Anolis sagrei: one gene and its partners. The protein of the gene in region 2 interacts with the protein of the main gene of each other region in a biochemical or structural test. Links are inferred from orthologs where the notes say so. Each region holds a gene or a part of one and is shown on either strand. Other genes may lie near its edges. The genes, in order: SORCS1, SORT1 and BDNF.

What was found.
Region 1: the proteins of SORT1 (region 2) and SORCS1 form a complex in vitro, tested with the Homo sapiens proteins (2 studies listed by BioGRID and IntAct, with this or other methods). The link is inferred for Anolis sagrei from reciprocal best matches to the Homo sapiens genes SORT1 and SORCS1.
Region 3: the proteins of SORT1 (region 2) and BDNF form a complex in vitro, tested with the Homo sapiens proteins (2 studies listed by BioGRID and IntAct, with this or other methods). The link is inferred for Anolis sagrei from reciprocal best matches to the Homo sapiens genes SORT1 and BDNF.

What each region holds. Positions count from the first base shown.
Region 1 is NC_090023.1:210,962,333-210,972,629, reverse strand, and holds the start of SORCS1 (VPS10 domain-containing receptor SorCS1), read right to left. Parts: upstream 4,272-10,297; 5' UTR 3,686-4,271; coding exon 3,185-3,685; intron 1-3,184.
Region 2 is NC_090024.1:184,773,003-184,783,226, reverse strand, and holds the start of SORT1 (sortilin), read right to left. Parts: upstream 4,776-10,224; 5' UTR 4,705-4,775; coding exon 4,501-4,704; intron 1-4,500.
Region 3 is NC_090021.1:260,645,793-260,656,572, forward strand, and holds the start of BDNF (brain-derived neurotrophic factor), read left to right. Parts: upstream 1-5,813; coding exon 5,814-5,888; intron 5,889-10,780. UniProt on the Homo sapiens protein: Important signaling molecule that activates signaling cascades downstream of NTRK2. During development, promotes the survival and differentiation of selected neuronal populations of the peripheral and central nervous systems.

The DNA of each region.
Region 1 (10,297 bases), on a different chromosome or scaffold from region 2:
GCGTGCAATGAGATTTATATTCACATATTTTTAAAAAGGAAGGGATAATGGTCAGATCATTCCATTCATTTCCCCCCTGCCAATTAAAAACCCACTAGAGGCATAGCTAAAAGTAGCAGCACCATGGACATGAGGGAGAATGATACTTTAAATGTGCTATTGTGAAGAACTGACTGCTTCATTTAAAAAAATCCTTTTTGTTGTTGTTGTTCCCTCTTATATTCCTTTGGCTCACTTTCCCTGTTCACTAAGAAGCAGCTCCCAGGGATCTGCATTATTCAGAGTCTCAGTCTGTATTGTCCTGATTCTCTAAAAACTGAAGTCCAGTTTATACCAACACTGCTGTGAAAGAAAGTGGCTCAGTTTATCAGAATGAAATCTGCAGCAGAGTGTCATAAGAGACGTCGTGAAAGCAGAATTACCTTTGAAAAAATAGAAGACATTCAGGATGAAAAGGAGCCGGGTTACTGGAGATACAGATGAGAGAAACTGACTCATTTTAACACCACAGGGATAAACCCAAGAACAACAGGTGAACGGGCATCCTCTTCCCGCAAGTTTAGCTTCATTTTTATATAAACGGACACTTGAACTGCCTCAAGGGAACAAATGGTACATTGTGAACCAATCTTCGGTTGCAAACCTGAGCTTTTTAATGTGCTTGGGGAAAAGTGAAAAGAGTTAGGGACAAGCTTGAGGGAGATTGTACAAGTGGCGTCCCTTTGATCAAAACCGAATCTTCATTGCCTGCGACATGAACTATTAAATTAAAGCTAGGGGACCATAGACTACTGACAGAATACAAACTGAGATACACTTTTCTATTCCGGCGTCCCAGTTGGGGAAGCACAGCTTTATAAATTTTCCAAAACAATGTGCCATTTATACAATAAAAGAGGGAAATGTGGGGGGAAACAACTTGTTTGTGGGTGGAAAGAAAGGGCAAAACCAGGATGCATGCTATCAGAAGAGGCAGAAAATAGACATGCAGCAGATGAAGACAGGGCTCCCCAGTTGCCTCACACAGAGTTTATAGCACTCCTGTCCATGCTTTCCTGCTGCCACCATTCATCTTTATCACTTTGCCACACTCGTGCCACTTGTCACAACAAGGAGCATCTCAGGGCTGAAATAGCTGACCCTTTTCAGCTTTCAAACAACACACACACACCCTTCCACAGAAGTGAACACCTTTTTTCTTCCAGTCAGCTCAGAAAACCCTTTTCCATTCATTGCACACAGAGATTAGGGTTCATTCTTTTTAAAAAATCCAGGGCATGGATGTCTTCAAATGCACCTAGTAGCATGCCAAGTGGAGCAGGAAACTTTCTGCTCCAGAGAGGATGTCAACACAAGACACAGAAAATAGTTGATTTAAAATAGATGTACAGTAGACTCTCTGTTAACTGGAATTCAAGGAACTGGAACTCTCAAGCAATCGGCAAACCAGCAGAAATAATACTTTCAATAAAGACATAACAATTGCAACATTCACACTTGCCTCAAGCAAACAAGACTTCTTTCTCCCACCCTGGACATTCTACAGACATATAAACCTCACTTGCCTTGTTTCCAACAGACCTCACAACCTCTGAGGATGCCTGCCATAGATGTGGGTGAAACGTCAGGAGAAAATGCTTCTGAAACATGGCCATACAGCCCAGAAAACTCATAGCAACCCAGTAAAATAAAAACAATTTTAGCGAAAATGTTGCATTAATGTCAAGTGTGTCTGTATTTGTCTTAATTTTCTTAAAATATCAAGTCAATACAATGTTTATGACTGGCATATTTTTAATAGTAAATGCTCAAGCAGCCAGAACGACATTGACATGGCATCTACCAATCCCCATGGTGTCAATGAACTGTGGGTGCACCGTAGAATGAATCTGTTTCACATGACTTTTTAAACTGCCATGGCTCAATGCTAGGGAGTCATGAGTTGTAGTTTTACAAGGTGTTTAGGTACCTCTGCCAAACTACAAAACCTTGGATAGCTTAGCATTGAACCATGACAGTTAAAGTAGTGTCAAACTGCATTGATACTACAACCAAAGAGTGGACAAAACTCTGAATAGAACAGTGGCTTCCAACCTGTGGTCTGTGGACTACCAGTGGTCAGTAAGAAGTAAAATATGGTCCGTGGCCTCACCGTTACTACACCATTGGAACAAGAGCAACTGGTCTCTTGAAACCCTCTTATAGTGCCGAGGCTTATTAAATATGGTTTTCTGTGGGTGAGCAGATGGCAACTACTGGATGGCATATGTTCTGCATCAGAAACTAGAACTTATATGGTCTATCCACTGTCCTTTTCTGAATCAGCACCCCAAATAACCAAACCAAATCTAAAGTTGACCAAAAAGTAATTCGTAACCCTTTGGGTACTAATGTGGGAGAGGGTCACTGGTCAAAATGGTATCTGGTCAAAGTGGTATCTGGTCGAAGTGGTCCCTGGTCAAAGTGATATCTGGTCAAAGTGGTATCTGGTCAAAGTGGTCCCTGGTCAAAGTGGTATCTGGTCAAAGTGGTCCCTGGTCAAGTGGCCCTGGTCAAATTGGTCCCTGGTCAAAGTAGTCCCTAATCAGGTGTTCCCTGGTCAAAGTGCTCCTTAATGAAGTGGTCACTGGTCAAGTGGTCCCTAGTCAAAGTGGTATCAGGTCAAAGTGGTCCCTGGTCAAAGTGTACCCTAATCAAAGTGGTCCCTGGTCAAAGTGGTCCCTGGTCCAAGTGGTCCCTGGTCCAAGTAGTCCCTGATCAAAGTGATCCCTGCTCAAGTGGTAACTGGTCAAAGTGGTCCCTAGTCAAGTAGCCCTGGTCAGAGTAGTCCCTGTCCAAAAAAAGGTTAGGAACCACTAGAGTAGAGAGAAGGGGGCAGCAGAGGGGGGGATTCCAAGCGCATCCTTTGCTGCCTGGGTCTTTGGGATGAAGCAGCAGCAGCAGCAGGGACTGGAAGGCGGGGAGTGCCTCGACACTGTGGAATGAATGCAGCTTGGACACGACTTTCAATGCTGGGGCATCCTGGGATTTGTAGTCGAAGGAGCCCTCCTCTTTGGCGGAGAAGACCTTGTGACAAACTCCCGCGATTCCCTAGTCCGAAAGTGGTGTCGAAGCGCATTCATTCCAGGGTGTAGACGCAGCAGGAGCGAGGGGCGGGCCGGGGGCGCGGAGGGCAACTACTCACGCTGCTGTTGTGTCCGGACCAGTGGACCATGGCTTGGTTGTGGGCCGAGTCTCCGGTGAGGGCGAAGGTGGTGCTGGTCAGCTTGAGCTCCTCGGGTCGGAAGCGGGTGGCGGGCTCCGGGCGGCTCTCCGGCGGCTGGGCGTCTCGGGCTTTCCGGCTTTGCCGCCTCCGCCTCCGCGCCGCCTGATTGGGGAGCGGGAGGCCGAGCGGAGACGAGAGGGAGGCGGAAGCGGAGGTCCCGGGTCCGCGGGGGAGAGCAGAAAGAGGGTCCGGCTGCCCGCCTTCCAAGGAGAGAGGCTTCTTCCCCAAAGCGGCCAAGAAGAGCCGACCCGAGGCGCCCTCCTTGACCTCCTCTGGGTTCCTCGCCCTCAAGCGCAGCAATAATCCTGGCTGGAGCCGGTGTTGCCCTTGCCCTTGGCAAGCCTGGCAAGTGATCTCCGCCCCGATGAAGCCAAACGGGAGCATCAGCACCAGCCACGTCCAGCCCGCAACTTTTCCCATCGCCCTCGACGCCGTTGAAAGACTTGTGTATGTGTCAAAAAAGAGAAGAAAGACAGAGCAAGGCTATGGGAGAACAGCAGAGATAGATGTTTCTCTTGTGGACCCAACGGGGAGAGGCACGAGGCAGCGATAACTCCAAAGAAGTTTTTTTTCCCCCTCCCGAGAGCTTTCTTCGCTTCCTTTCGGATTTCTTTCCCCCCGTTTTTTCCCTCCAAAAGATCGGGCTTTTTGATGGGGAAAAGGGATGAAGAAAAGCCACAACCACACGAGGGAGGAGCTGGAGCAGCGCGAAAGAGAGAGAGAATGGAGAAAAAGAGAAAAAGGAGAGAGAGAGAGATGAGAGAGGATGCGCGCGCCAGCCAGCCCTGCTTGGCGGTTTCTGGGCGCTGCTTTTGGAGAAGTCCAAAAGAGAGAGAAAGGGAGAGAGAGGGAGGGAGAGTAGTCATAACCCGCCTCTTTCTCCCTCCTCGTTTCTCTCCCGCCCTCCCCAACCCGGTTTCCCTTTCGCCAATCGCTTCTCCTCCTCCTCTCTGGGATTTTCTCGTCGTTTGGGTGTTAGAGCGCCGACGCGGCGTCCCCTTCCTTCCTCCCTTCCTTCCCTCCTTTTTCCCTCGCTCCCTCCCTCCTTCTCTCCCCTCCCCTCCTCCTCCTCCATCTCGCCAACTTTCTCCTTCTCTCCATCTCCCATCAGGATCCGCCGGCCTCCGTCTCTTTGGGGTGCGTTTACCTCCCCAGCGCGACTCAGGACAGGTTTACAACCACATCTGTAAACCACATCTGGTTCCTCTAGGTTTGAGAAAAGCGGGTTGTATATCGCACTCGAAGTTTCATGCAGGGGAAAATAAAGATGGGGGATGGGAACCCGTTTGTCTGTATGTCTGTATTAACTTGTGTCTATAGCAGGCATTGGCCAACTTGTGCCGTCCAGGTGTTTTGGGCTTCAACTCCCACCATTCCTAACAGTCTCAAGTCCTTTCCTTTCCTATCTCAGCCGCTTAAAAATGTTAGAAGGTTGAGGGTGGCTAATCAAAAACCTTGGAGTCCCCGTGGACAACAATTTAAACATAAGCCAACAATGTGATGCAAACGCCAATGGGATTTTGGCCTGCATCAATAGGAGCATAGTGTCTAGATCTAGGGAAGTAATGCTACCCCTCTATTCTGCCTTGGTTAGACCACACCTGGAATACTGTGTCCAATTCTGGGCACCACAATTGAAGAGAGATATTGACAAGCTGGAATGTGTCCAGAGGAGGGCGTCTAAAATGATCAAGGGTCTGGTGAACAAGTCCTATGAGGAACAGCTTAAAGAGCTGGGCATGTTTAGCCTGAAGAAGAGAAGACTGAGAGGAGACATGATAGCCATGTATAAATATGTGAGGGGAAGTCATAGGGAGGAGGGAGCAAGCTTGTTTTCTCCAGCCCTGGAGACTAGGATGCAGAACAATGGCTTCAAACTACAAGAAAGGAGATTCCACCTGAACATGAGGAAGAACTTCCTGACTGTGAGAGCTGTTCAGCAGTGGGACTCTCTGCCCCAGAGTGTGGTGGAGACTCCTTCTTTGGAAGCTTTTAAACAGAGGCTGGATAGCTATATGTCGGGGGTGCTTTGAATGCGATTTTCCTGCTTCTTGGTGGGGGGTTGGACTGGATGGCCCATGAAGTCTCTTCTAACTCTATGATTCTATGATTCTATATGCAAATTAGTAGGTGGAGATAGCTCATGCATGGGCCAACTTGGGCCCTCCAGGTGTTTTGGACTCCAACTCCCAACAGTAATAGCATGATAGCTGGGCCCGGAAGCTCCGAGCATTATAGAGATGCTGCATCGCTTCTTCGGGAGCACTGTTTGTGCAAGAGAGACTTAGCTAATGTAAGCCAGGCCGGAGACAGATAGGAATGTAAGAGTTTTTTAATGATGAAACCCTTACCCTAACCCTGAAGCATACCATAAGCCTAAGCCTAACCCCTTACCCAAATCCTTACCGTAACCCAAACCCTAAACCTTACCCTAACCCTTATGCTAACCCAAACCCTAAATCTTGCCCTAACCCTTACCCTAAACATCCCCTTCGTCCTATCCTTCCTTCCATCTCCAAGCTCTCACTCCGCCCCCTCTCTTCCCTTATTCACAGCCATCTTTGTGGCATCTCCCTAACACTTGAGCTTCTGGACCCAGCTATCATACTATAACTCTCCAACCATTTCTAACAGCCTCAGGCCCCTTCCTTTTCATGCTTAGCCGCTTAAGAATGTTAGAAGTTTGAGGCTGGCCAATCAGAATACTTATGCTAATTAGTAGGTTGAGATAGCTCATGCATGGGTCAGTTTGGGCTTCAACTCCCACTGATAATAGTATGAGAGCTGGGTCCGGAAGCTCCGAGCATTATGGAGATGCCGCATCACTTCTTCAGGAGAGCTGTTTGCGGCTGAGGGGGAAAAGGACGGGGCTGAAGCTGTTGGGAATGGTGGGAGTTGAAGTCCTAAACACCTGGAAGACCCAAGTTTGCCCATCTCAATGGCACCAGTTTAAAATTGGAAAGAGACACAAACTGTGTTTTTCAACAAGCAAATGCATTGCACACATCATTGTCTGATCAGTGGAGCTTTCTGCTTTCTCTGCCAGGCACCCGAGCTCTCTCTCTCTGCAAGTCTCCCCAATGGGAATTCCCTTCTAGTTCTCCCCAAGTTGGGTTGCTGTGAGTTTACGGGCTATATGGCCATGTTCTAGAAGCATTTTCTCCTGACATTTTGCCCGCATCTATGGTAGGCATCCTCAGAGGCTGTAAGGTCAGTTGGGAAATAGGCAATTGGGGTTTATATATCTGCAGAATGTACAGGGTGGGAGAAAGAACTCTTGTCTGCATGAGGCAAGTGTGAATGTTGCCTCCTTGGTTAGCATTTACAGCTTCAGAGCCTGGCTGGTTGCTGCCTGGGGGATTCTTTGTTGAGATGTATTTGCTGGCTCTGATCAATTCTTGTTTGGAATTCCCCTGATTTTTGAGTGTTGTTCTTTATTTACTGTCCTAATTTTAGAGTTTTTCGTAATACTAGTAGCCAGATTTTGTTCATTTTCAAGGTTTTTCCCTTTCTGTTGAAATTGTCCATGTGCTTGTGGTTTCTCTGTGTAGTCTTCCACGGTAGTTGTTAGAGTGGTCCATCATTTCTATGTTTTCAAATAATATGCTGTGTCCAGGTTGGTTCATCAGGTGCTCTGCCATGGCTGACTTCTCTGGTTGAATTAGTCTGCAGTGCCTTTCATGTTCATTGATTTGTGTTTGAGTAAGAAGCAATCAAGACCAGCTAATCACCTCCCAACAAAGGATTCCCCCAGGCAGGATGCAGTCAAGCCTTGAAGCTGCAAGTCTTTTCAATGCTAATCAAGGGGATCAGTTGCAGCATTCACACTTGCCTCAAGCAGAAAAGAGTTCTTTCTCCCACCCTGGACATTTCACAGATATATAAACCCCACTTGCCTTGTTTCCAACAAACTTCAGAACCTCTGAGGATGCCTGCCATTAATGTGGGCAAAATGTCAGGTTTGCAGTGAATACCAGAAAATTCAGAAGAGAATGAAAGAATGTAAGGATGCACACATAATCATCATTCAGACATTAGACTTGTCTGTGGAATTCGTATCTCCTTTTTCCTTTGTTTCTTTTAGTACTTTGGGAGCACATAATGGGAAAGCCCCTCCCAGTACAAAAATCAGCACAACACAAAAGTAAGCAGGAAAGGGTTTTGGTTCCTGGCTTGCTTTTTGGCATCACAGTTTAATCTTTTTTTTTTTATCAATCCGCCAGCAAACTAAAAGAAAACCATCATTCCCTGAAAACTACTCTCCTCTTCCAGGAGGTCATTGTTCTTACTTACCTGGAAGTGGGAAGCCTCCTTAAAATGCCTTGGAAAGTGTGTGGTTGACTGGTGCGGTATAGCCCAGGAGATAGAGTGATCATGCTTGCAGCTAAGCGCCTCCCTGAGCTTGCCTCCTTGACTTGGAAAGAGAGTGTGTCTGTGGAGTGCAGCCCCAGAAAGCATTCATGCCTGTTAGTGCCTACAGCCAAGTGCCTCTTCTAGAGTAAGAAAAAGAACTTGCCTCCTTGCCTTGGAAAGAGAGAGTGTGAAGGCTCAGAAAGCTTGTGCTGGGCAATGCCTGCAGTTGAGGGCCTCCTATAGAGTAGAAACACCAGGTAAGAAAAAGCGTCCTTAAAGCATGTGCTGGGAAAGGAGCCTAAATAGGAAGCCCCCCCCCCTCCCCCCCAATACTGGTCCAATAAAAAAAGGATTTTTTGGGACTCCAGAGCAAAAACAGATATCTGCCCTTTTGATTTTGGGAGGCTACCAAAAATGGATCAGGACCCTACTGAAAGCCGGAACATGAAATGGGTCAAGGTTTACCCTGAATGCACAACCCTACTAGGCATCGGCCAGGAATCATACCTGATTTTGAAGAAAAGGGCAAGTGAAATCTCCCTCTGTCTTGAATAGCAAAAGTAACTGATGAGCAGAGGAAAAGATCTCACACTTTGGAGCACTATAGACTAGGCTTGGGCCCGGATCAGTTCGATTGAAAGTGATTTATAATATTCGGCGGTTCATTTTGTGTAATCCCACAAAAACAGGCAAGAGATAACCGAAAAGCTGGGCAAAATGGATCAAGAGAGCCGGATTTATTGGGTACTGGAGAGGATGTAGATAAGTCTGCATTATACCTGAGGCAGGGGGTCTGCTGCGGGGCTCACGGAGAAGATCATGCAGTGTCTTTTCTCTTTCCTCACCAGTGGAAAAGTTCCCTAGCCTCCTTCTCCAGAGAGAGCCCTGCTTGGAACCCGCTTTCCCAGCAGCACTTGCATGGGGTGGCATTGAAAAGTCTCTGATTTCCTTTGGAAGCATGTTGAGAGTTGAAGTTTTTCTTTCTTTCTGTTTCTCAGCCAATAAAAGGCCTGGTTGTGTCCATAATCTGATTGGCTGAAAATGGACACAACCAGCGACTACAATTCCCAGAACCGTCTCTTGTGGTTTGTTTTATTTTAAAAATGTTATGGTGAAAACTTAAAATAATTCTAAAAATCAGTAGATCGGTGAATTGTTCTGAAACTTAGCATGCCTGCAGTTGTAAATGGGGTCTAAAACTAAGGTAGTTTTCATGCAGATAGGACTTAAAATGACAGAGAATTGAGCCTTTAAAGTTTCCCATTGTAGCCAATGGGTCAAATATTTCCTGAATGAAAATGGCAACACTCCTCCCAATTCGAGTAACTTCCTGGTAAATAGAATGAGGGGCTAGCCAAAAATGGACCCCAAAATGGCATACCTTTTGGGCAAATTGCACAAGTCTACCATAAACCACTGCAATTGAGAGCATTTTAAGGTCTTACAAGACTCTACAAGTTTAAGTATGTTAGACTATGACTCTGGAGACCAGAGTTCAGTTCCCTGTTCAGCAAATTCATTGGTGACCAATGCCAAATCACACACTCCCGGCCCCAGAAGATGCTGTGATAGATTCATTTTAGGGTCATTATAAGGCAAAAATGACTTGGAGGCACACAATAACAAAATAAACATATAAATAAGACCAAAAAAGTATCCTTGTGTCCAGGGTCATAGCTAGAAAAAAAAAATTGGGGTGGGGGTGGGAGAGTTAAGACTTTTTAAAAAAGCAATCAAGTCATTCCATAGCACAAAACTATTTAAATAGTATGGTTCAATCTATATTTTTATATATAATTGATTAAATCAATTTTCTATTTTAGTTACAAAGTTTCAAGTCTTAAAATAAATGAAAATGACAGTTAATTGGTAATATATAGTTACAAAAGAATACTAAAACTCTGTTGGAAACACTTGAAAACTGTGTCCATACACTTTTGACAGAATTCAGGCTTCATTGATAAATTTCAGTGGACACTCCAGAGTGCAAGTCCAGAGTGCAAGTCCAGTTTTTCTTGCTCCATTGTGCTTCTTATGTATGTTTTCAAATGTTTAAGAGTTGAAAACAACCTATATATAGGCCTAGCAATGGGAACCCTACTATCTGGGAAAGGGGAGGGGGGGTTGAACCTCTAACCCCCCTCCCCTGGATGTAGCCCGGCTTGCATCCATGAAGATAATATACATACAGTGCAAGAAGCATTAAGAGAGCATGACAATGGACAGAGGACTGTGTGAGCAATTACTAAGGTGTGTACACATGAAAGTTATGATCATGTTTTATCTGGCAGTCAACCTCGTGGAATTTAGAGGAGTTAAATCGAAAGAAAAGTGCACAGGGTCAACTGAATAGCTCCAACTCTATGCAATATTTTGCAGAAACACATCTCACAAAACTATTTACTTTTGCTATTTGCTTTTACTTAAATAACTACAGCCAGGTTTGCACAGCAAGAGCACTAAAGATTGCAATCTAACTTTATATTGAACTGTCAGTGGGCTGTTTTCTCTCATTCACTGGTATAAGTGACTCAGAACCAGAGGCATGGACTTCTACTAGACCCTTTGGTTTGCTTCAACTTATGAAACCAGTTGCTAGAGCCTGCTGCATTGCCCTTTGACTTAAGCAGTTGCTGTCACGAGGAATTGAGATAAATAAATCACTCAAACATTGCTGAG
Region 2 (10,224 bases):
GATGCAGTTTAGACATCACTTTAACTGCCAGGGCTCAATGTTATGGCATCATGGGACTTGTAGTTTTACAAGATCTTTAGCCTTCTCTCTCCTAGAACACATCAAACTCAGGGTCCTACAGCATTGAGCCATGGCAATTAAACAGTGTGTCAAACTACATTAATTCTACAGGGTAAATGCACTTTAAGACACTGGGGACCAGGGTTTCAATCCCCACTCAGCCATGGGAACCCACTGGCTGACCCTGAGCATGTCACACACTCTCAGCCTCAAGGTCGCCAAATAACCTGGAAGCACACAACAAGAACAGCAACATTCAGGAAGCAACATTATGAACACCACTTGCAATTCAAAAGTGTTTATTATGCCATCCCTAAATCAATTTTCAGCAGCTCTATAGAAATATAGCACTCTAAAATTGTAGATCACTTGCATGCTGGGTGGATTCAGGTGAACTCCCCTGCCTTGTCACTAAATGCTGACAATCAAGCGAAACTAGTCTGAAGGTATTTCCTATAGAATGGCCTTCACAATCCATGCTCACTGGACAAGACATGTTTTGCCAACATGTCCAACAAACACTGGCTGTAAAACACAATGGGAGTTGAACACTCAGAAAAGCTAGGTAACCTGAGCAACCAAAATTTAGATTTGTGCACACCTATCCTGTAGCAGCTGGCTTCCTCACTTGCCAGTCACATCCAACGAATTCCAGAGTCTCGCTACTTTAGGATAAGCCATTCACATGAAAGCCAATAGTGCCCATCGGCTTTTAACACAAAACACAGGCTAATGAAGACAGTGGTAAGCTCAAAACCAGTTCATATCCCTCTAAGTGCCAGTAATCCTCAGAATGGATAAAGAAAATCTTTTCAGGGTGAACTAGATGTCACACACTGAGATCTTTTGCATTTTTAAATGCTTCTAACCAGCTCTGAGGGTGCATATACACTGCAGAAGCAATACAATTTCACATCACTTTAACTGCCTTGGTTCAATGTTATGGAATCCTGGGAGTTGTTAGGTGAGTTTCTTTGGCAGACAAAGACGAAGACATTGTAAAACTAGAGCTCCTAGGATTCCATAATACTGAGTCATGGCAGTTAAGGTGTTTTTGTTTGTTTGTTTGTTTGTATTTTGTCGTGTCAGGAGCAAGTCGCTTCTGATGTGAGAGAATTGGCCGTCTGCAAGGACGTTGCCCAGGGGACACCTGGATGATTTGATGTCTTTATCATCCTTGTGGGAGGCTTCTCTCATGTCCCCGCATGAGGAGCTGGAGCTGATAGAGGGAGCTCATCCGCCTCTCCCCGGATTCAAACCTGCGACCTGTCGGTCTTCAGTCCTGCCGGCACAGGGGTTTAACCCACTGCGCCACCGGGGGCTCCTCAGTTAAGGTGGTGTCAATCTGCATTACTTGTACAGTGTTGGTGCACCCTATGGCTGAAAAGCTAACTAGGTTGGAGAACTCTGCCATTCCCTCAATTTAAATGCACATTCCTGTTGGCTTCCTAGGAAGAATAGCACTCAAGTGCCAAAGAGTGTCAGTCTGTCTTGACTTAGCTCCAAAGTCATTATATTCCCTGGCTCTGAAGGTGTGGCTCTTCCCCATTCTTTCCTCACAAGTACGTCAGGCTGTCCACTCAAAAGCGTACATGCTTATTTGTGTCGCATATTACCAATGTTTAATTCTTGCAGTGAGCGCCACTTGGGTTCAAACCTTATCTGAGCAATGCAAGTCACCTGGCCTAGGAAACCTGTCAGCTGATTCAAGAGGAATAGGCACTGAATATCTTCTTTTTTTGTGCCAGGAGCAACTTGAGAAACTGCAAGTTTCTTATGGCATGAGAGAATTGGCCACCTGCAAGGACATTGCCCAGGGGATGCTCGGATGTTTTACCATCCTGTGGGAGGCTTCTCTCATGTCCCCACATGAGAAGCAGGAGCTGACAGACGGTAGCTCACCCTGCTCCCCGGATTCGAACTGCAGACCTTTCGGTCAGCAGTCCTGCCGGCACAAGGGTTTAACCCATTGTGCCTGGATGTTCTACCATCCTGTGGGAGCCTTCTCTCATGTCCCCCATGAGAAGCTGGAGCTGACAAATGGGAGCTCACCTCGCTCCTTGGATTCGAACCGCAGACCTGTCAATCAGCAGTTCTGCCAGCACAAGGGTTTAACCCATTGCACCACAGGGAGCTCCTACCGAATGTCTAATGTGTATCTTTTGTTGTATTTTGTGTTCCTTAAGGAAGCTTCTGGGACTGAGAGTGGATGATTTACCCAGAATCACCCCAGAAGATTTCCATGAACAAGTGGGGATTCTAATCCAGATCTCTAGAATTGTAGGGTGTATCCACACTGTCTAATTAATGCGGTTTAACACTACTAAAAACCGATTTTAATGCCATGGCTCAATACAGCTTGAAGCCACTTAAACTGCCGTGGAATTGTGGGAGTTTGTACTTTGGTGAGACATCAACCCTCTTTGCCAGTGAAGACTCAAGCTGTCGTAAAACTACAACTCCCATCATTTGATAGCACTGAGCCATGTCAGTTGAAATGGTTTCAGATTGTATCCATTCAACACTGCAGGTGCACCCATAGACGATTGCTGAAACTCCTATGCCATACTTGAAGTGACAGAGAGATTATTAAGAGGCATTCTGCACATGCTCAGAGACAGCATCTTCCTTGTCACTCTCAAGCTGAATTGAATGTGCATCTATATCAGTTATGGGCAAACTTGGGCCTTCTGGGTGTTTTGGACTTCAACTCCCATCATTCCTAATAACCTCAGGCCTGTTCCTTTTCCCCCTCAGCCGCTTAAGGAAGGGACCTGAGGTTGTTAGGAATGATGGGAGTTGAAGTCCAAAACACCCAGAGGGCCCAAGTTTGCCTATAACTGATCTACACTGTTGAATTAATGCAGTTTGTCACCACATTGAACTGATACAACTCAATCCTAGGATGTATAGTTCATATATATTTATATACAATAATATTATAATGTAGTACAATAATATAATAATCTATATATAAAAAATGCTCTGTGCATAATGAGTTCCTTAAAAACAAAAGAACCAATGGACGAAATCACACCAAATTTGGCAACAAAACATCTCACAACACAAGAAATGGCCATCACTCAAAAAGTATGAATTTGTCATTTGGGAGTTGTAGTTGCTGGGATTTATAGTTCACCTACAATCAAAGAGCATTCTGAACTCCATCAACGAGGGAATTGAACCAAACTTGGCACCAGAACTCCCATGACCAACAGACAACACTAGAAGGGTTTGGTGGGCATTGACCTTGAGTTTGGGAGTTGTTGTTCACCTACATCCAGAGAGCACTGTGAACTCAAACAATGATCGATCTGGACCAAACTTGGCATGAGCACTCAATACGCCCAAATATGAACACAGGTGGAGTTTGGGGGAAGTAGACCTTGACATTTGGGAGTTGTAGTCACTGGGATTCACAGTTCACCTACAATCAGAGCATTCTGAACCCCACGAACGACAGAATCGGGGCAAACTTCCCACACAGAACCCCATGACCAACAGAAAATACTTAAGGCCATCCAATCCAACTCCCTTCATGAGGGCAAGAAAATATAATCAAAGTCGTCCTGACAAAGAGCCATCCAGACATAGATATAGATAGATTGATATGATTCACACACAGAGCGAGATATAGTGTTATAGATTTGAAAGGGACCCCTAAAGAAGGACAATTCTATGTCGCATGTTCCAGAGTAGGCAAACCAGACACTCTCCACATCAACACCGACATAGAAACAACAAGGAATACTGTTTACCCTCAAGCATAAAGGAATTACATATATTAGAAACCATTACTTTATTTTCCAGATCACCAGACTGGGCCACAGCAACGCGTGGCAGGGGACGGCTAGCATATTATAATATAGTTGATAATATTATAATGTAATACAATATAATACTAATAATAATACAATATAATAATTATATATTTCATATTACATGTCATATTACTAATAATATTACAGTATACTGGTATAGTACAATATGGGAATGCATGTTACTAATATGGTGCTATGTAAATAATATAATATATTGTATTTACATATAACTTGTAAGCCGCTCTGAGTCCCCTTTGGGGTGAGGTGGACGGCATATAAATGTCGTAAATAAATAAATAAATATAGAGACCGCGAAGGAAGCTCAAGACCTTGTGAAACTACAATTCCCAGGCTGCCATAACTTTGAGCCATGGCATTTAAAGCGGTATCAAAGCAAACCCTGGGATTTGTGGTTTGTGGCCTCTCTGGCAGAGAAGACCCAAGACCCTGTGAATAGTAATTCCTTAGATTTCATAGCCTTGAGGCAGGGCAGCTGCAGCGGTGTCGAACCGCGTTAATTCTTAAGTGTAGACGCCCCTTTGAAGGACACCACAGAACGGAAGGCACCGAAGTCTCATGCTCTTCAGGCCCGTCTCCCCCACCCTTGCCTCCCGCTCACCTTGTGGGTGTTGTTGCTCAGCGCCTCCAAGGAGAAGCCTCCGTCCCGCGGGCCGCATTCCGCCTCAGGCCGGCCCTCCTGGGCCCCCCGCCGGGCCCGCAGCCTCCCCTCCCCGAACCGGAGCTCCCGTCCGCCAAGCAGCGCCGGCGCCCCCGCCAAGAGCAGCAGCAAGACCCCGACCCGCGCCAAACTCGCCCGCTCCATCTCCGCCGCCGCCGCTCACAACAACAATCGCTAGGAAACTCTCTCCTCAAGCTTCAGGGGCGGGCCCGTCCCGCCCACCCGCGCCCTCATTGGCCCAAGCCGACCAGGTATGTCAACGTCACTGGCTGCCGGAAACGCCAATCTCACCCACCTTCGATCAACAACCTGCCTCTCTTGGTAGCTTCTCCCCCATTCGTCCAACGCTCCCGGCTTCTTTTTTCTCATTGGGTTAACGCCTTGTCCGTTTCCGCACTGCAGTCGTTGATTGGCTCCCCGCGGCAAGAGCCTCCCCCCGTCAGATTCTCTAGCTGGGCAGCATCACCCCACTTTGAAGAGCACCTTGCCCATTGGCTAATTGCCTACCAGCGTTGTCCCTTTGCTGATCCTCGGAGTAATCCTAAAACATCCTCGAGGCCGTGCCCTGATTGGCTGCAGTGCAAGGACACGAAGTCCACGAGAGGCTAGAGGAGAACCTACACCGTACATCTAATGCAGTTTGACATCACCTTAACTGCCATGGCTCAATGAGATGGACTCTTAGGGGTTATACTTTTACAAGATCTTGAACCATGTCTGCCATAGCATTAAGCCATAGCAGTTGAAGTGGTGTCAAACTGCATTAATTCTACAGTGTAGATGCACCTCTGAAGATGGATTGAAGTCTAGACACACAATTCATGTGTTTGACATACACATAGCCAGATGATTGTATTATTTGTGTGCTTCATATACACATACGGAGCCCCCAGTGGCACAATGGGTTAAACCCATGTGTAGGCAGTATTGCTGACCGAAAGATCGGCGGTTTGAATCCAGGGAAGAGGGTGAGCTCCAGTCTGTCAGCTCCTGCTTCTCATGCAGGGACATGAGAGAAGCCTCCCATAGGATGGTATAAACATTTGGGTGTCACCTGGGCAGCGTCCTTGCTGACAGCCAATTCTCACACACCAGAAGCAACTTGCAGGTTCTCAAGTCGCTCCTGACACAAAAGAAAAATGTACACATAGCCTGATGATTGTTTTATACAGTATTATTTTGTGCATGGACATTTTTTTGTGTATATTGAACCATCACTATCTCAGCCATCCTTGTAGACCATTTTAGGTTTGGGAGCTATTTGCAGTTTCAGACAAGGAATACTCAGGTTGTATTCTGAATGTTAGACTTGTCAATATACACTGGCAAAGGAAAAATGATTTTGAGAAGAAATTGATACACAGCAAAGCTATCAGTCAAATCTCTGAACCTTTCTCTTCAGTTGAATCAGCTTGCTGTAGGGACACCCTAAGGGTTTCACAAGGTTAACAATTGTTCCCTTTATATCAACTGCACAACTGATTATATTAAACAGGGTCTCAGCACAATTGTGATAAATCAAATGATCATTTTCTGCCACATTTCCTACAAAATTGTGAAAATTCTTGGCTCACTTCCCACTTCACCATCCCAATCTGCAAAGTAAGTTGGAATGTATGTGCGCCTGGGGTTAATGCAGTTTAACCCCACATTTAACTTCCATGGCTGCTCTGAGTCTCCTATAAGACAGCAAAGATGGATAATTTTATTGAATCATCAGGAGCTGCAACTTACAAGGTCTTTAACCTACTCTATCCAAGAGTGTTAATGCCTCACCAAACAACAAATCCCAGGATTCCATAGTATTGTGCCACAACAGTCAAAATAATGTCAAATTGCATTAATTGTTTAATAAGATGCACCCTCAGGAAATTTCATGGTTGTGAAAGGATCTCAGCCTGTATCAGTCCAAATTCCAGTGTGTATAACACAGTCTCTCTGATATAGTTACTTAGGTAACTTATCTTTATTCAGGATTGTAGGAAATATTTTTCTTGAGCCAACCACTAGTTCAGCCCTGCACCTTAATTTTTACAAATAAAATAGCAGACAGTCAATAATCAATCCTATTGAAGAACATGTCCAGTTTGATCCTCATCTATTCCATGAATAGTAAAAAGGGGTTTTGTTTTACAAATAAGGGCATGCTGCCATGTTGGAATATTGCCATCTGTCAGAAAGAGGAAAGGAAGCCCCTATATACACATACATACATACATACATACATACATATTTATGCCATTGTGGAAGGGTTTTTGGCTTGGATGGTGGAAAATTAAAAAGGCCAAGAACTGAGCAATTTGAACTGGCCATTTAAAAATAATAATAAAGAATGCACACAAATGGAAATCTACAGGCAATGCAACCAGTTGAGTAAACTGGCAGTGGTTTTATGGGTGTCTCAATGTTAGGTGCAACACTAATGGAAGCACTGAAGTTCAAACAGGAAACTGAACCAAAAGGTTGCAACATGAAACTGTTGGGGATGGGGAAAAGGAAACATAATGGCATGCAACACAAATTAGATGTTGAAATAATGTATATACACTGCAGTGACATTGACAAAAATTATCTACTGAAGATAGATCATTATTAGAAAATAGCCCAAGAAACTGCTGAAAGCTTCCTCAACCTGGGACCCTCCTATTTTGTTGAATGTTTTTTTCCCGTGTCAGGAGCGACTTGAGAAACTGCAAGTCGCTTCTGGTGTGAGAATTGGCCGCCTGCAAGGACGCTGCCCAGGTAACGCTTGGATATTTTGATGTTTTACTATCCTTGTAGGAGGCTTCTCTCATGTCCCCACATGGAGAGCTGGAGCCGACAGAGGGAGCTCATCCGTGCTGTCCCCAGATTCGAACCTCCGACCTGTCAGTTTTCAGTCCTGCTGGCACAAGGGTTTAACCCATTGTGCCACCGGAAGCTTCTTTTTGTTGAATTAGACTTCTATTACCAAATTAATATAATCCCAAACCAAAGTCCTGTTCAAGAGACAGAAGTAGCCCCACTATTATAGTACTATATTCCTCGATGTATTTTAACCATATTAGATAATCTTCTAGCTTGACAAAGTAGGATATAGATAAAATATTTTTAATAGAAGAAAGGTTTGTTGTTTTTGAAAAAAGAATTCTAAATTGTTCCTGAAAACAGTATTACCAGAATAAACTGAAACAAGCTTCCCAAAAGAAAGAAAACAACTTGCCATAATCTCTGGCAATCTTTGCAAACATTCTAGAAGGGACAACACGGCTCCTTCCGAAATTAGCTGAGGAACAGCTTGATCTCTGGGAAACTGCCCCATAAGCAATAAAAATCCTGTGGGCCACTGAGTGTAATCTTTATCAGGACCAAGTGTTTAAGTTGGCTGGGGAAACCAACAGGCAACTAAGCAAGATCACCACTTTGATTACCAGTTTCTTAGCTTTTATATTTATAAAGTCTATAATTATGTGATTAAAACAAAAAGGCTGGCTAAGATTACTCTGGAATAATAACATCCTTCCAAAGAGCCAGCTTTTAGGAAGCTGCTATTTTTCAAAATACCACCATTTTGAAACTTTGTGGGTTATTCAGGATATTCAAGAAATTTGCTGGTTTCTAGCTGCAGCTAATGCAAAATCCAGACATTAATCTTAAAACATAATTTGAACTTGTAATTATTTTGTGCAGGTTATCCACATAACAATTATCAACAGACCAACTGTATTTAAATCTCCATTAGGAAACAGCAGCTGGCAAGTTTGAAATGATAACCACCATTCCCTAGTGATTATTGCCAATAAATACAGGGTGGGACAGCTCTTACTAGAACAAATAAGAAAATAAAACATTAATACATATCCGATTTGGTATACATTTTTCCCCTGAGATGTTTACATAACATCAGCTATGACCACTATATATATACAGGGTGTTCCAGAAATGTATACACCCTTTATCAACTAATTGTAGCAATTATTTGAAGGCTAAGTAAATACACTTATATTGAAGAATAAATGTTATAAAGATTTAACCAGGATTACATAACCCATCTTAAATTATTATTTTATGTAGAGTTCATATTGTCTCTGCTTGCATTGTTGAAGCATGGAGTTGCAAACTTCATTTAAAAGTTTAACTTTGTGATTTCACAATAATTTTCTAGGGTAGGGAGAAACCAAAAACAATCCTTGAATTATAAATTGTTTTGGCTTTGCACATTTTTGGGATTAGATACAGAAAACCCTCAAGGAAGTTTGTGGCCTGTTTGTATTACAACACATACTAAGAGCCAGAGTGGTATCGTTGACTGAGTATTGGATTAGGACAATGGGAAACAGGGTTCAAATATTTGATCTGCCATAGAAATTCACTGGGTGATGTTGACAGGTCATACTCCCCAGCCTCAAAAGGCAAGGGAAAAGCTCTGAATATTTTCAGCCACAAAACCCCTGTGATAGGTTAGCCTTAGGGTCACCATGACTCAGAAATGACTTGAAGGCAAACAATAGCATGCTGATGCAGAACCTGTACAAACAAAGGCAGCATACCAGTTCATGTCTAATTCAGTAACAGGAATATGTACCCTATAACTCAGTGGTTCTTAAGGTGTGGGCGGCAGACCACCAATGGGCCACGAGGACAAAAACCTGATCCGTGAGCCTCCTTCCTCATTATTTATTTTTCTCCCACTCTTCTTGCTCCGCCTGCTACTCCTTCCCTGTCGCTGACCATGGAAACTGGAGCTGATGTGGTTTATCCAAAGCAATTTTCTGAATCAGCCCCCCAAACGAAATCTAAAGTTGACCAAAACCTGTTTCATAACCCTTTTGGCACTAATGCTGGAGTGTGGTCCCTGGTCAAAAAAAGGTTGGGAACCACTGCTATAACTGATTCAGAAAAATCAGTACCAAAGAAAAATATGTACTATCTTATGGAGGATGGGCATCATACAACACTCCAGAGGTTGTTAGGACTGCAATTTCTGTCATTCCAGCCATCACAGCCAATTGCGTGGAATGAGTTACAGTACACTATGTGGAAGACCTCATGATGTCTTGTTGCAGACATATGTCATTTCCTCAAAATAAAAGATGCACAATATAATGTATTTGTGAGTTTTGAAAACAAGCAGGAACCCATCAGAGATCTTCCCTACAGTTATTTTTTAGCTATTTAAAGTGTTTGGATTTGAACAGTGGGATACACAGATATACTTTTTCTGATGCTATGACAGATATGATAAGATTTGTATAATTTTCTAATAACTCAAAGACCAACATGAATACATACAGCTTTTAACATTTGGAATTGGCTGGTTTGTAGCAATCAAGAAGGACTTGCTTTTACTGCTCAAATAAGAATGGAACAAAGTCTTGTTTTTTTAGTTTGCTCACATGGTAGCTGGTACTACCAACTGTATTTAAAAGAGAACATAAAAAGCCTTTGTCTTACATGTTAGAGATCCTTTTTTTGTACAAACTAAACAAAGTCTAGATGAAATAAAAACCATTCTATGCTTTCAAAGAACTCTTCATATCATTTCCTATAAATTTAAAACACCTCTATTCTCACTGAAGAATGCATTACACCAGCTTAATCTAGGATCACATTTGCTTTACAATTTACTTCCCCTGAGCTTTTGTTTCAAAGGAACACTATACATTTAATGCAAACTTAAATCGC
Region 3 (10,780 bases), on a different chromosome or scaffold from region 2:
ACAAAACTGAGGAGGAGGGCCACATATACGTCCCTCTGAACATTTGGAAAGAAAACCAAGATATACAGTAATATATCTCAAGAGGTTTCCATTCATAAGATCACTAAATCAAATGCCACCCTTGGACATTACTATCAATGTCCAAGTTTACTTCTGGTTTTGGAAAATAGCTTTTTAAAGAGAAAAAGTATTAGACATTACATAGAGAGGGATTACATTCTCTATAAACTTTCTTGTCCTTCCTTCTGAAAGTTTCCAGAAGACAAAAAGTCACCCTTGGAAGGGTGAGCAAGGAATGGTTTGGGAAGTCTGGAGAATGATGGGTTGCAAGGAGAACATGGCAGGAGATACATCCAGCCCCAGATCTCCCCCAACTCCCCCACTGTCTTTGGGGTTTGGGTTCTATGATTTCCAAGTATTAGTCCTTCCAGATGTTTTGGATCTCAAATTCCAAGCCATTTGTCCATGCTGACTGGGACTTCTGGAAACTGAAGTCCAACAGCCTCTCAAAGGCCAAAGCTTCAGTACCACCACACCTATAGATGGCTTTTCCCTCATGAATTCACTAAGCATATTCTAATCTCAATAACTGGCTTGAGCATCAACTTCAGGAGGCTGCAACCCACTTCCACAGAGGCACTTAAAGATGGCACCTGCTCTCCTCTCCCTCCTGCTTTGACATGGAAACTTGCCTGGTGACAATCCAAATGGCCTTTTCCTTCTATGGGCGTCCACTCTCACCTTGGGTTTTGCAAGGTGGTTGTTGTTGAAAGTTTTCTACTTATTCCAATCTAACGACATCCCTAGGGAAATTGTCTTGAAATAAGATTTGCTGATTTCAGTGGGACTTACCTCCAACAATCTACAAGACCAACTGAAAACATGAGACATTTGATGTGGGCCTTCAATCTGATTCTGAGGTATGGAGCCCATATCATAGGCTTTCCTTAGCAAACCTTACTCCATAACAGTTTGCCACCTTCCTAAGACTGAGAGAAAGTGACTTGCCTAAGACCACCCAGTGGGTTTCTAAGGCTGAGCAGTCAGTTAAACCTTGTTCCCCTAGAGTCCTGGTCCAACATGTAAACGACCATACCAGGCTAAAGAGACAATATATTCAGGGGATTTTTCCTTCAAATCAACTCCAGTGTCCAGTTTTCAGGAGCATTTCCCCCTACCTGGAACTTAGTGCAAAACGTATTTCATGGGGCTGTCTTTGGTAAGGGATACTCTTAGACCAGTGGTTCTTAACCTGTGGGTCACAGACCACAAGTGGGCCGCGAAGCTGAAAATCTGGTCTGCAAGCCTCCTTCCTCTTTATTATATTTTATTTTATTCCGCTCCTTTTGCACCGCCTGCCACTCCTCCCCTGTTGCTGACCATGGCATAGGTTCTGAATCAGAAACTAGAGCTGATGTGGTCTATCCAATACTATTTTCTGAATCAGGACCCCAAACCGAATGTAAAGTTGACAAAAACTGATTTGTAACCCTTTTGGTACTAATGTTGGAGAGTAGTCCCTGGTCAAGCAGTCCCTGGTCAAAGTGGCCCCTGGTCAAGTGGTCCCTGGTCAAAAAAAAGTTGGGAACCACTGTCTTAGTCTTAGATTATATACAGCCTACAGCGTGGGATATTCATTGCCAGTGTCCCATCCAAGTATTAAGCAGGACTGGCCCTGCTTGGGTTCCAAGCTCAGGCATGATCTGTTACCTTTAAGGCTGGCCCCGAAGTCCTTTTCGCCCTCTTCTCCCCCTCCACACACACACACACACACACTTCCTCAAGATCCTAAGGGTGACAGCGCTTGGAGGATGGCTTCATGGGCTCTGAACTGCTTGTGAGTGGAGAGGGTCCCTTCCTGGGACCCCGGCTCAAGGCTTTCCTCTGGCTTGTCCCCTCGAGAGCTGACCCCTCCCCCCCCCTCTCTCCCGCTCAAGCCCTTGCCAAGAGAGCCTTTGAATCTGGCTCCAACTCTGCAAATCCCCCGAGTCCCAAGCCTTCTCCTCTCTCTTTGGGCTGGCGCCGCCAATCCGTCGAGGGGAAGAGCCGGAGATGTGGGGGAAGCCAAACCCGCGTCGTTGTGGGCGTCCCAACTGGCTTTCCCTCCCTGGTGCCAGGTTGGCTCCAGAAGCATGTCTTTACTTCCATCCCATGAAGGGAGCCGCCCACCCACAACTTCGGGCAAACTTTTCCTCCAGTGGGAGCCTCTGGACTCTTCTTCCAGTCTCTTACAAAAGACTAAAACGAATCTCCGGTGCGCCTCCTCCTTCCAGTACTGCTTCTGTTCTGCTATTGCAGGTGCAATGCATGTCTCTTTGGAAAAGTCTGCCCCTGACTCATCCCGTCGGTGGGGCAGTCAAACTCGCCCACCCACTCGCCCACCCACTTTCCCAGCCTTTCCCCTTCTCGCACTGCTATTCTGCAAGCCGGTGGCGGAATGGTCCCCCTGGGAGGAGAGCGGTCACCCGAGGAGGAAAGGGCTCAGGGTCGAAGCCCAGGGAAACCCAGGCAGGTCGGGGAAACGAGCACCAGCCCGGGGCTCCTGAGCCTGCGCGGAGCTGGAGCTCTCCAAGGTGCTCCAAAGCGGGCCTCACAGCGGCGAGGGAAGGCAGCGAGGCCTCGGCCAGGGAGGACGGGACCCCGGGTTGGGGGAAGCGGGTGGCTGGAGAGAGGCCGAGGGACTGTGGAGCGCAGCCCCAAGCGGGGTGGAAGGAAGCGAGTGTCTCTGGGCAGATAGGAAACTCTGGCGCCGGTTGGAGGCCCGAATGGTGACGACACACCCCGCAGGGCAGGGAGGCGCATGGTGGGAGTTTGTTGTCCCGCTGCCGAAGTTGGGAGCTAGCTTCGAACTGCATTAAGCAGCCGGTGCAGATGGGGTTGGAGATGGCGCGCTGTGTTCCCTGGAGAGCAAGTCTAACGGAACACCTCAGGGGTCCCTTCCAAGGGAGAAACATAAAAGGGGGGGGGGGGAATAAGGAGGCTCGCTTCTCAGCCTTTAAGAGGCTGCCTTGGGAGTCAGGAGCATCACTGGACCCCATAGTCTCCCCTTCCACTCACACAGACGCACACCCAAGGCACGTTTCACCACGCCAGAGAGAGAGAGAGAGAGATCCCCACCAGCCCAGGTGTGCCAACCTACCTGCGCCCGGGGCCCCTCCAGCCTGGAGACGCTAAACTTAGGCGCCCAGAGAGTGAGGCTGGAAGGGAGCGGGAAGGGCCCTTTATAGGCTCTCCCTGCCCCGCCGAGAGACGCAAGTAGGCGCGCCAGCAGCCCACACCCAGACTCCCACTGCCCCTCCGTGAATCAGCCCTGCCTGGGCTTCGGGCAGGTGAATGTAAACACACACACACAGAGAGAGAGAGAGAGAGAGAGAGCCCGGTGGAGGCAGCACCTGTCCCTGGGCCAGTGCGCCAGGGGCCTCCATTCCCCATCTGCCTCGCCTGGCCGCCCGGCTGGCGCTGCTCTCCTTTTGAGCCCTGCCACCTGCGGAGCTGCGCCTGGGACGCAACAAGTCCCCGGAGTGTCTGGAGGGAGAGGGAGAGGGAGAGGGAGGCGAGAGAGAAGGGAAGAGAGAGTGAATGAGAGATGGGGGGTGAGGGTGTGGGACCAGGAGAGGGGCTGCTTCCTGAGTCCTTTCCCGGCCCTGCCACGAAAGACTCATGTCAAGGCTTCCGGGGACAGAACGAGAGGCACACAAAGTGAGCTGGAGAAGTTTGTAGCCCACTCCTCACGTGCGGCTCCCGAGAGGGTAGAGAGAGAAAGGGAGAGAGGAAAGGGCATACATCCCCCCTTCTCCCCCCCCCCCTCTTGTTCTGGTTGGGTCTCGTGGCTCAGCCTTTCCCCCCCTTCATTAAGATCACGTAAGAAGAAGCTACCCAAAGGGGAGAAACGTGCCTGTGAGCTCAGGCGTTTGCGTAAATCGAGGGCCGGCGGCGGTGTGTGGGGCGCGTGTGCCCGTGGGGCGTGTGTGAGTGTGTGTGATACAGGGAGCGAGTGTGTGTCTATATGTGTGAGTGAGTGCGAAGGCAAGCTCTCCCCGCCAGCCAGCCAGCCAGCCAGCCAGCTAGCCAGCAGCCTCCTGCCCGCCGCTGGCTGCCTTCCTTCCTTCCTCCCTGCCACCCTGCCTTCCTTCCTTCCTTCCTTCCTGCCTTGCCTGCCTTGCCTTGCCTTGCCTTGCCTGGCTTTGCCTTCCTGTAAGTCACCCAGGTGGCGGTGTGTGGCGAGTTTGGCGGCTCGGCGGATATTGCACAGGGTGGTTATTAGATTCATAAGTCACACCAAGTGGTGGGCGATCCACGGAGCCGAGCGGAGAGAGAACTTCTCACATGATGACTTCAAACGAGACACATTACCTCCCAGCATCTGGAGGAGAGACGGGATTGTAAAGGCGCTTCGGGGCTCCAGGACGGCCGGGGAAAAAAACAAAAAAAAACAATCAAAAAAGAACCCGAAACCATGGTGAGTGAGTGGGACTCCGGAGGGGAGGCTTTGGTGCGGGGAGGGGGAGGGAGGGAGGGAGGGGGGAGCGCCCCGGGGCGTGCTTCCCCCCAATTTGTGCTTGGAAAGAAAGAGACAGGGAGAGCTTCTCTCCAAAGCGGGAAGAAAGAAGGCTGTTGCTTGACAACAATTTACTTCGCCGCTCCTTCCCTTCCCCTCCGAAACCTTCCCCTGCCTCTCCTCCCCGCCCCCGCCCCCCCCCCGCGCCAAAAAAGAAGCCCGGCTTTCTGGAGCGCCTCCGTTTGGCCACGCAGAGCCCCAGCAAGCCTCGGGCGTCCCGGGAAGGAGGGCGGCGCGGTGCGTCTGCCCAACTTGAAGGAAGGGCCGAGCTTTGCGGGGATTTCGAGCTACGCAGAAGAAACTTGGAGCCCGGGTTTCCTTCCTCCGAAAGGAGCTGCTGCTTGGCTCTTGTTTTACTTTGTGGGACCCCCCTCCCCCTTTCTCCCAAAACACACACCGCTTGGCTTTGGATGGAGGGCATGGGGGGATGTGTTGGGAAAGAGGGTCAGAGCGATGGGGCGAGAAAGGAAGCGAAAGGGGGTATTCCTCTCCTCTGCCCCCACCCCCTCCCCAAATCCCCAGGTCCGTCCAACATGTGATCTTCTATTTACAGCCCGTGCAAAAGCCGGGCTCACGTGACTCAGGAAAGAGGGGAGGGGGCTTCAGGCCGCACCAAGTGACTTCATGGAAATGTCAACGCCAGACCTTCCCCCTCTTCTCCCCTCCTCCTCCCGCTTTTCCCAAGGAGAAAAGAAAGAGGGGGGCGGGTGGGGGCTGGGGAAGGAGTGGGGCTGGCCTCGGAGGGAGGCGATGGGGTTTGTCAGCCCAGGTAATCCGGAGTGAATCCCTCAGCGCTTAAAAGGCGGCCAGCCTGGACCTCCCTCCTCACACTGTGATAAGATCTGGCGAGGAGGGAAGCGACGGAGAGAGAGAGAGAGAAGAAGAAGAAGAAGGGAGAGGGAGAGGAAGGGAGAGGGAGAGCTCCCTCCTTGCTTCAGAGTTGCTCCTACGTCCCGGTTGTGGCGGACCTGGGCAGGAACCGCCTCCAACCCGGAGCGGCGGCGGCGGAGAGCGGGACAGACCCGCGCCAGAGCCGAGTTTGCGGGGGCGCCTGGGCACCGACGGCGCGGGCCACTCTGGGCGATGCGAGCGCCTCTGCCCGGCGCCATCTAGCCAGTGGCGGGGGGCTCGCGGGGACCGAGGTAAGGCTCCCCCTCCCTCTCCCACGCGGGGCTTTTCCCCTCCCCCTTCTCCTTCCTCTCCCTCCCTCCCTCCCTCCCCTCCTTCCCTGCCCCAGTCTCTGGTTGTTATTATTATGGGGGGACCGTGGGCTGCTCTCGGCCGGGTCTGTGTCCTCTCTCTGGCGGAGCAGAGGAAAAGAGGAGCCAAGGTAGGCGCCAGCGAGGCCCCTCACTCCCTTCCCTCTCCGGAGTTGGCCAGAACTCCGTCCAGCCCCCAGTGAATTGGTTGTGTTTGTGTGCTTTTGGGGGGAAAGGAGGGAGGAAGCGCGCAGTTCCTGGAGGGATGAATGAATGAATGAATGAATGAATGGAGAGAGGGAGGGAGGGATCACTCACTACATCACCAGCGAGCGATAAGCAGAGAGAGGCATCCCAGCAACGGAGAATACAGTCTATTTGGGGCAGGGGAGCTGCCTGCACGCACTTGGAGGGGGAAAACTCCCTTTTTGCTCCAAGCCTTGGCCTTCGCCTGCGTAGCCTCCCTCCCACCGGGGCCCCCTTTTCTTTTCTTTTCTTTTCTTTTCTTTCCTTTCCTTTCCTTTCCTTTCCTTTCCTTTCCTTTCCTTTCCTTTCCTTTCCTTTCCTTTCCTTTCCTTAGACTTTCCTCTGCGGGGAAACGGGAGGCTGGGGAAAGCTCTCTCCGACGGGAACTCCATCCTGCGCTCATTCAGTCCTCCGGCTCCTCCCCTCCCTCGTTCCCTCTTGCGATGCTCCTTCCTACGTAGACACGGAGCTAAGAATATTGAGTCGCTGGGCTAAAAATAAGCCGGGGAAAGTCAGCAGTTTGGAGCCGTAGGGAGAGGCAGAAAGAGAGGGAGAGAGCTCCGCTTAGTGGGCGCTGCTGCTACGGGGCGGAGAGGCAGGCGGGCGGGCAGGCGCATGGCTTTCTCCTCCCCAAAAGGACGCCTTCCCTTCCCCATCAGCAGCCAGAGCCGGGGGTGAAGCCTGGCCCCGGGTCTGGGCGCCCATCTGGACAGAGGGGCCCCGAGGAGAGGAGGCGGAGGGAGGATCTGGACCGGGGAGCGAACCAGAGACGCAGTCGAGCCTCTTCAAGCAGGGAGGGAGGAAGGGAGGGAGGCAGGGAGGGAAGGAAGGAGGGAGGGAGGAGGCTTCTCTCTTTCTCCCTCCTGTCGCCAATGGACCTCCTTCGCCCAAATGAGAGAAAGAGAGAAGGGCAGGAGGTGTCACAAACCCAGGAGGCTTGTGACGGGGCTGGAGAGGGACTGGAAAGAAATGGGGAGAGCCCCCTGTCGCCCCCAGGTCCAGAGAGGCGCCGGCAGGGACCTCCTCGCTCTTTCTTGCCCCAGAGGGAGACAGAAAGAGGGAAAGAGAGGAAGGAAGAGCAAGCGCTGCCTCTGGAAGGGAGAAAGAAAGAAAGAAAGAAAGAGAGGCCAGTGGCCAAGCCGGTGCTTTGTTTCTAGTCGCCGTGGCCCGGCTTAGGCGAGCGGATAAGCTGGGTGGCTTGACTGCTCCTTCCTTCCTTATCCACATTCTTCTTCCTTCCATCCGAGCATCCTTCCATACTCCCTCTCCTTCCTTCCTTCCTTCCTTCCTTCCTTCCTTCCTTCCTTCCTTCCTTCCTTCCTTCCTCCCCCTCCCTCCCTCCCTCCCTCCTTCCCTCCTTCCTTCCTTCCTTCCTTCCTTCCTTCCTTCCTCCTTCGCCTGCCTGCCTTGCCCGGCTTGCAGTCCCTCCTCCTCCTCCTCCTCCTCCCGCCTCGCTGCCTTGGCCGTTCATTGGGCCTCCTCCTCCTCCGCTGCCGCGATTGCGCTCACGTAGCCGCGCAGGGCAGGAAGACGACGAAGGCGACGACGGAGGGAGAATCCCTAGCGAGCACGAGCAAGCGCGCGGGGCGGGTTTGGAGGAAGGAAGGAAGGAAGCAAGGAAGGAAGGCAGGAAGGCGGGAGCCGTCGAGGCAGCCGGGGATTTCGCAGCAGGGTGTGGTTCGCCCAGGAGGGAGGCTGGCTCCAGCGGGACCCCAGGCCGAGGAGCGCACCGTAGACCCGGCAAGCCCCCCAATCCCCGCCCCTGCGCCCTGGCTTTCGCGCGCTCTTTTCTTGGGCTCCCAGCCAGGAGGGGCCTCCTTCGGAAGCGAGGGCGCAGGGGCGGGAGGAGGAGCCCCGGGCCCGGCTTCGGGGAGGAGGAGGAGGAGGAGGAGGAGGAGGAAGGCACGGGAAAAGGGCTGTTGGAGCGGGCGCCACTCCCCAGACCGTGCTGCGAAGGAAGGGATTCCGAGGTGGCGGCTCCCCACTCGCTGCCTTTCAATGCGGAGCGGGGAAAGGCCCGGTGGAAAACGGGGGGGGGGGGGGGGGGGGGGCAGAAGAGGCATTAAAGGCGCCGCGCGGGTTTTTCTCGCCCTCTTGTTTTTCTTCCTTCCTCTCTGCTGCGGGCCAGGAAAGGAAGAAAAGGAAATGTTGGGTTGTTGTACGTTTTTTGGCCTTAATGACCATGTTCTAGAGGCATTCTCTCCTGACGTTTCGCCTGTATCTATGGCAAGCATCCTCAGAGGTTGTGAGGTCTTCTTCTCCTGGCCGGCAGCAGAGAGGAGGGAAAGAATGCAAAAGGGCCTCACAACTTCCGAGGAAGCTTGCCATAGATGCAGGCGAAACGTCAGGAGAGAATGCCTCTAGAACACGGCCATATAGCCCGAAAAAACCTACAACAACCCAGTGATTCCAGCCATGAAAGCCTTCGACAATACAAAGGAAATGTTTTGTGTTCCTCACCATTGCTGTGCTTGGAGGGAGGGAGGGCAAGGGGCCATCAAGGCTCTTGGTCTTGCAAAGGCCGGCCTCTGGGGCGAAGGGTCCCTTGAAAGCCCTCAGGCGGCATCCCTTGGGTGGGCTTCGCAACGGAGCCCATGGCCCAAGTGAGATCGTGTCGTATTCAGAGCCTGAAACCGTGGAGTTTCTTCCTAGTTGTGCTTCTGCGGGAAATGTCCTCAGGGGCAAGTCAGAGAAGGGTTTCATAACCCAAATGGTACATCATAGGTATGGGCAAACTTGGGCCCTCGCTCCAGGTGTTTTGGACTTCAACTCCCACCATTCCTAACAGCCTCAGCCCCCTTCCTTTTCCCCCTCAGCCACTTAAGCGAAGGAAGGGAAGAAAAGGAAGGGGCCTGAGGCTGTGAGGAATGGTGGGAGTTGAAGTCCAAAACACCTGGAGCGAGGGCCCAAGTTTGCCCATGCCAGCGATATAGTTTCCCCTCCATCACCCTAAATCCCTGTTGGTGAAGCCAGGCTAAATGCGGAGCAAGTGCAGACCTACCTGTTGAGCTTCCATCCTTTTTGGTCCCGAATTCTCCTGCATATCTGTCTGTTGGGCTGTAATTTGGCAAATGTGAAGGTAGAGTTGCAGACATATGCCCCAGTCATTTGGCTTTTGGGTTAGGCGTTTCCGAACTTAGTTCCTGAACTTGTAGGTCCTGGGGAATCTAGGAGAAAAGCCCTCTACCTCCCCCCACCCACCCAAATCCTTGTCATTAATTTTTAGACGTCTGTATAAAGGGGTTATAATGCATGAAGTACTTTGCACATGCGCAGGGACTCTTGCCTGTTGATGCCTTTGCATGATGCAGCACAAGTCTTAAAACCCAAGGGCTGCTGAACCAAAAGTCTTGGGCTGGAAGCCTTTACCAGGAGAACTAAAGGGACAAGGTGTAAACTCAGACCAGGGTACTTTCAAACCCAGCTTATTTTCCCAGGTGAAGCTCCCACACAGGTACAACTATCAATACTGGGTGTATGCACAACTTAAACCAGTTTCAGGTTAGTTCCACAATTTGATACAACCTGACTTTTCAAAATATATGTAATTCTTAAATCAAAACCCTTAAATGTAATATTGTTTAGCGCCAGGATAAGTCTTAATCTGACCTTGCCTAAAATTGCCTAAAATTGCCACATATAGAGTCATAGAGTTGGAAGAGACCCAGTCCAACCCCTGCCATGCAGGGACATATGACCAAAACACCCCTGGCAGCTTTTGATCCAGTGAACAATTCCATAAATGTGTGTGTAGGATAAATATATGCTAATCCCATTATATCCATACACATGTTTAGAGACTGGGTATTATCACCCCATCCTTCCAATCCCCTATCTTCTCTTTTTTGATAGCCATATATAAATATATGAAGGCATGGCATGTAGAATATGGAGAAAGCTTGCTATCTGTTGTTGAATGGGTTGAAATGACAAACAAGTGATTCCACTGAATCATTAGGAGGAACTTTTGGACTGAAAGAGCTGTTCAGTGGTGCTGCGAACTCTCTTCTGCTTTGGTCAGACCTCACCTGGGATCCTGAGTCAAGTCCTGGACATTACAGTTCAGGAGGGATATTAACAAGGTGAAAAAAGTGCCCGGAGGAAGGCCATCAGGATGATCAAGGGTCTAGAAACCAAACTCTGAGGAATGGTGTAGAAAGACAAGAATGTTTAGTTCGGAGAAGCATAGACAGAGAGTGACATAAAGACTCCCTTCATGTGAAAAATGGGGCAAAATTGTTTTCTGCTGCTCCAGAAACTAGAATGGATATTAAAATTTTAAAAAGAGATTCTTCCTAAATGCCAGAAGTAACTTTTTAATGTAAAGCATATTTAGCAGTGGAAAAAACAGCCTGTGGTAAGGTGGTGGTGGTGGAGAACTCTCCTTTAAACAGAGCTTGGAGGGGCATCCTCCCTTTCCGCAAGGATTGGGATTGGATGAGCCTTGTAGTTCCTTCTAGTTCTGTGATTCTAAAAAGCAAAGTAAACTAAACCACTGCATGTTTTTGCTGGGTGCTGGAGTAAGTTCTGCCCTTGTAGTAAAACTTGATTCCCATTCCCATTCTATATTTTCCCCCTCTCTCTTGCATTCTGTTTAATTGAAAATCACTATCCACTATCCTTGCATTTAAAGCAAGGATAAAGATTGTGTAGCCCTCAAGATACTATTAGATTGTAACTCTCCTCATCATTCATCATTGCCTATGCTCTTTTCAACTTCTAAGGGCCAGATACCCCATTTCCGGACTTAAGGCATAGTTTTCTCTTGCCTTTTGCA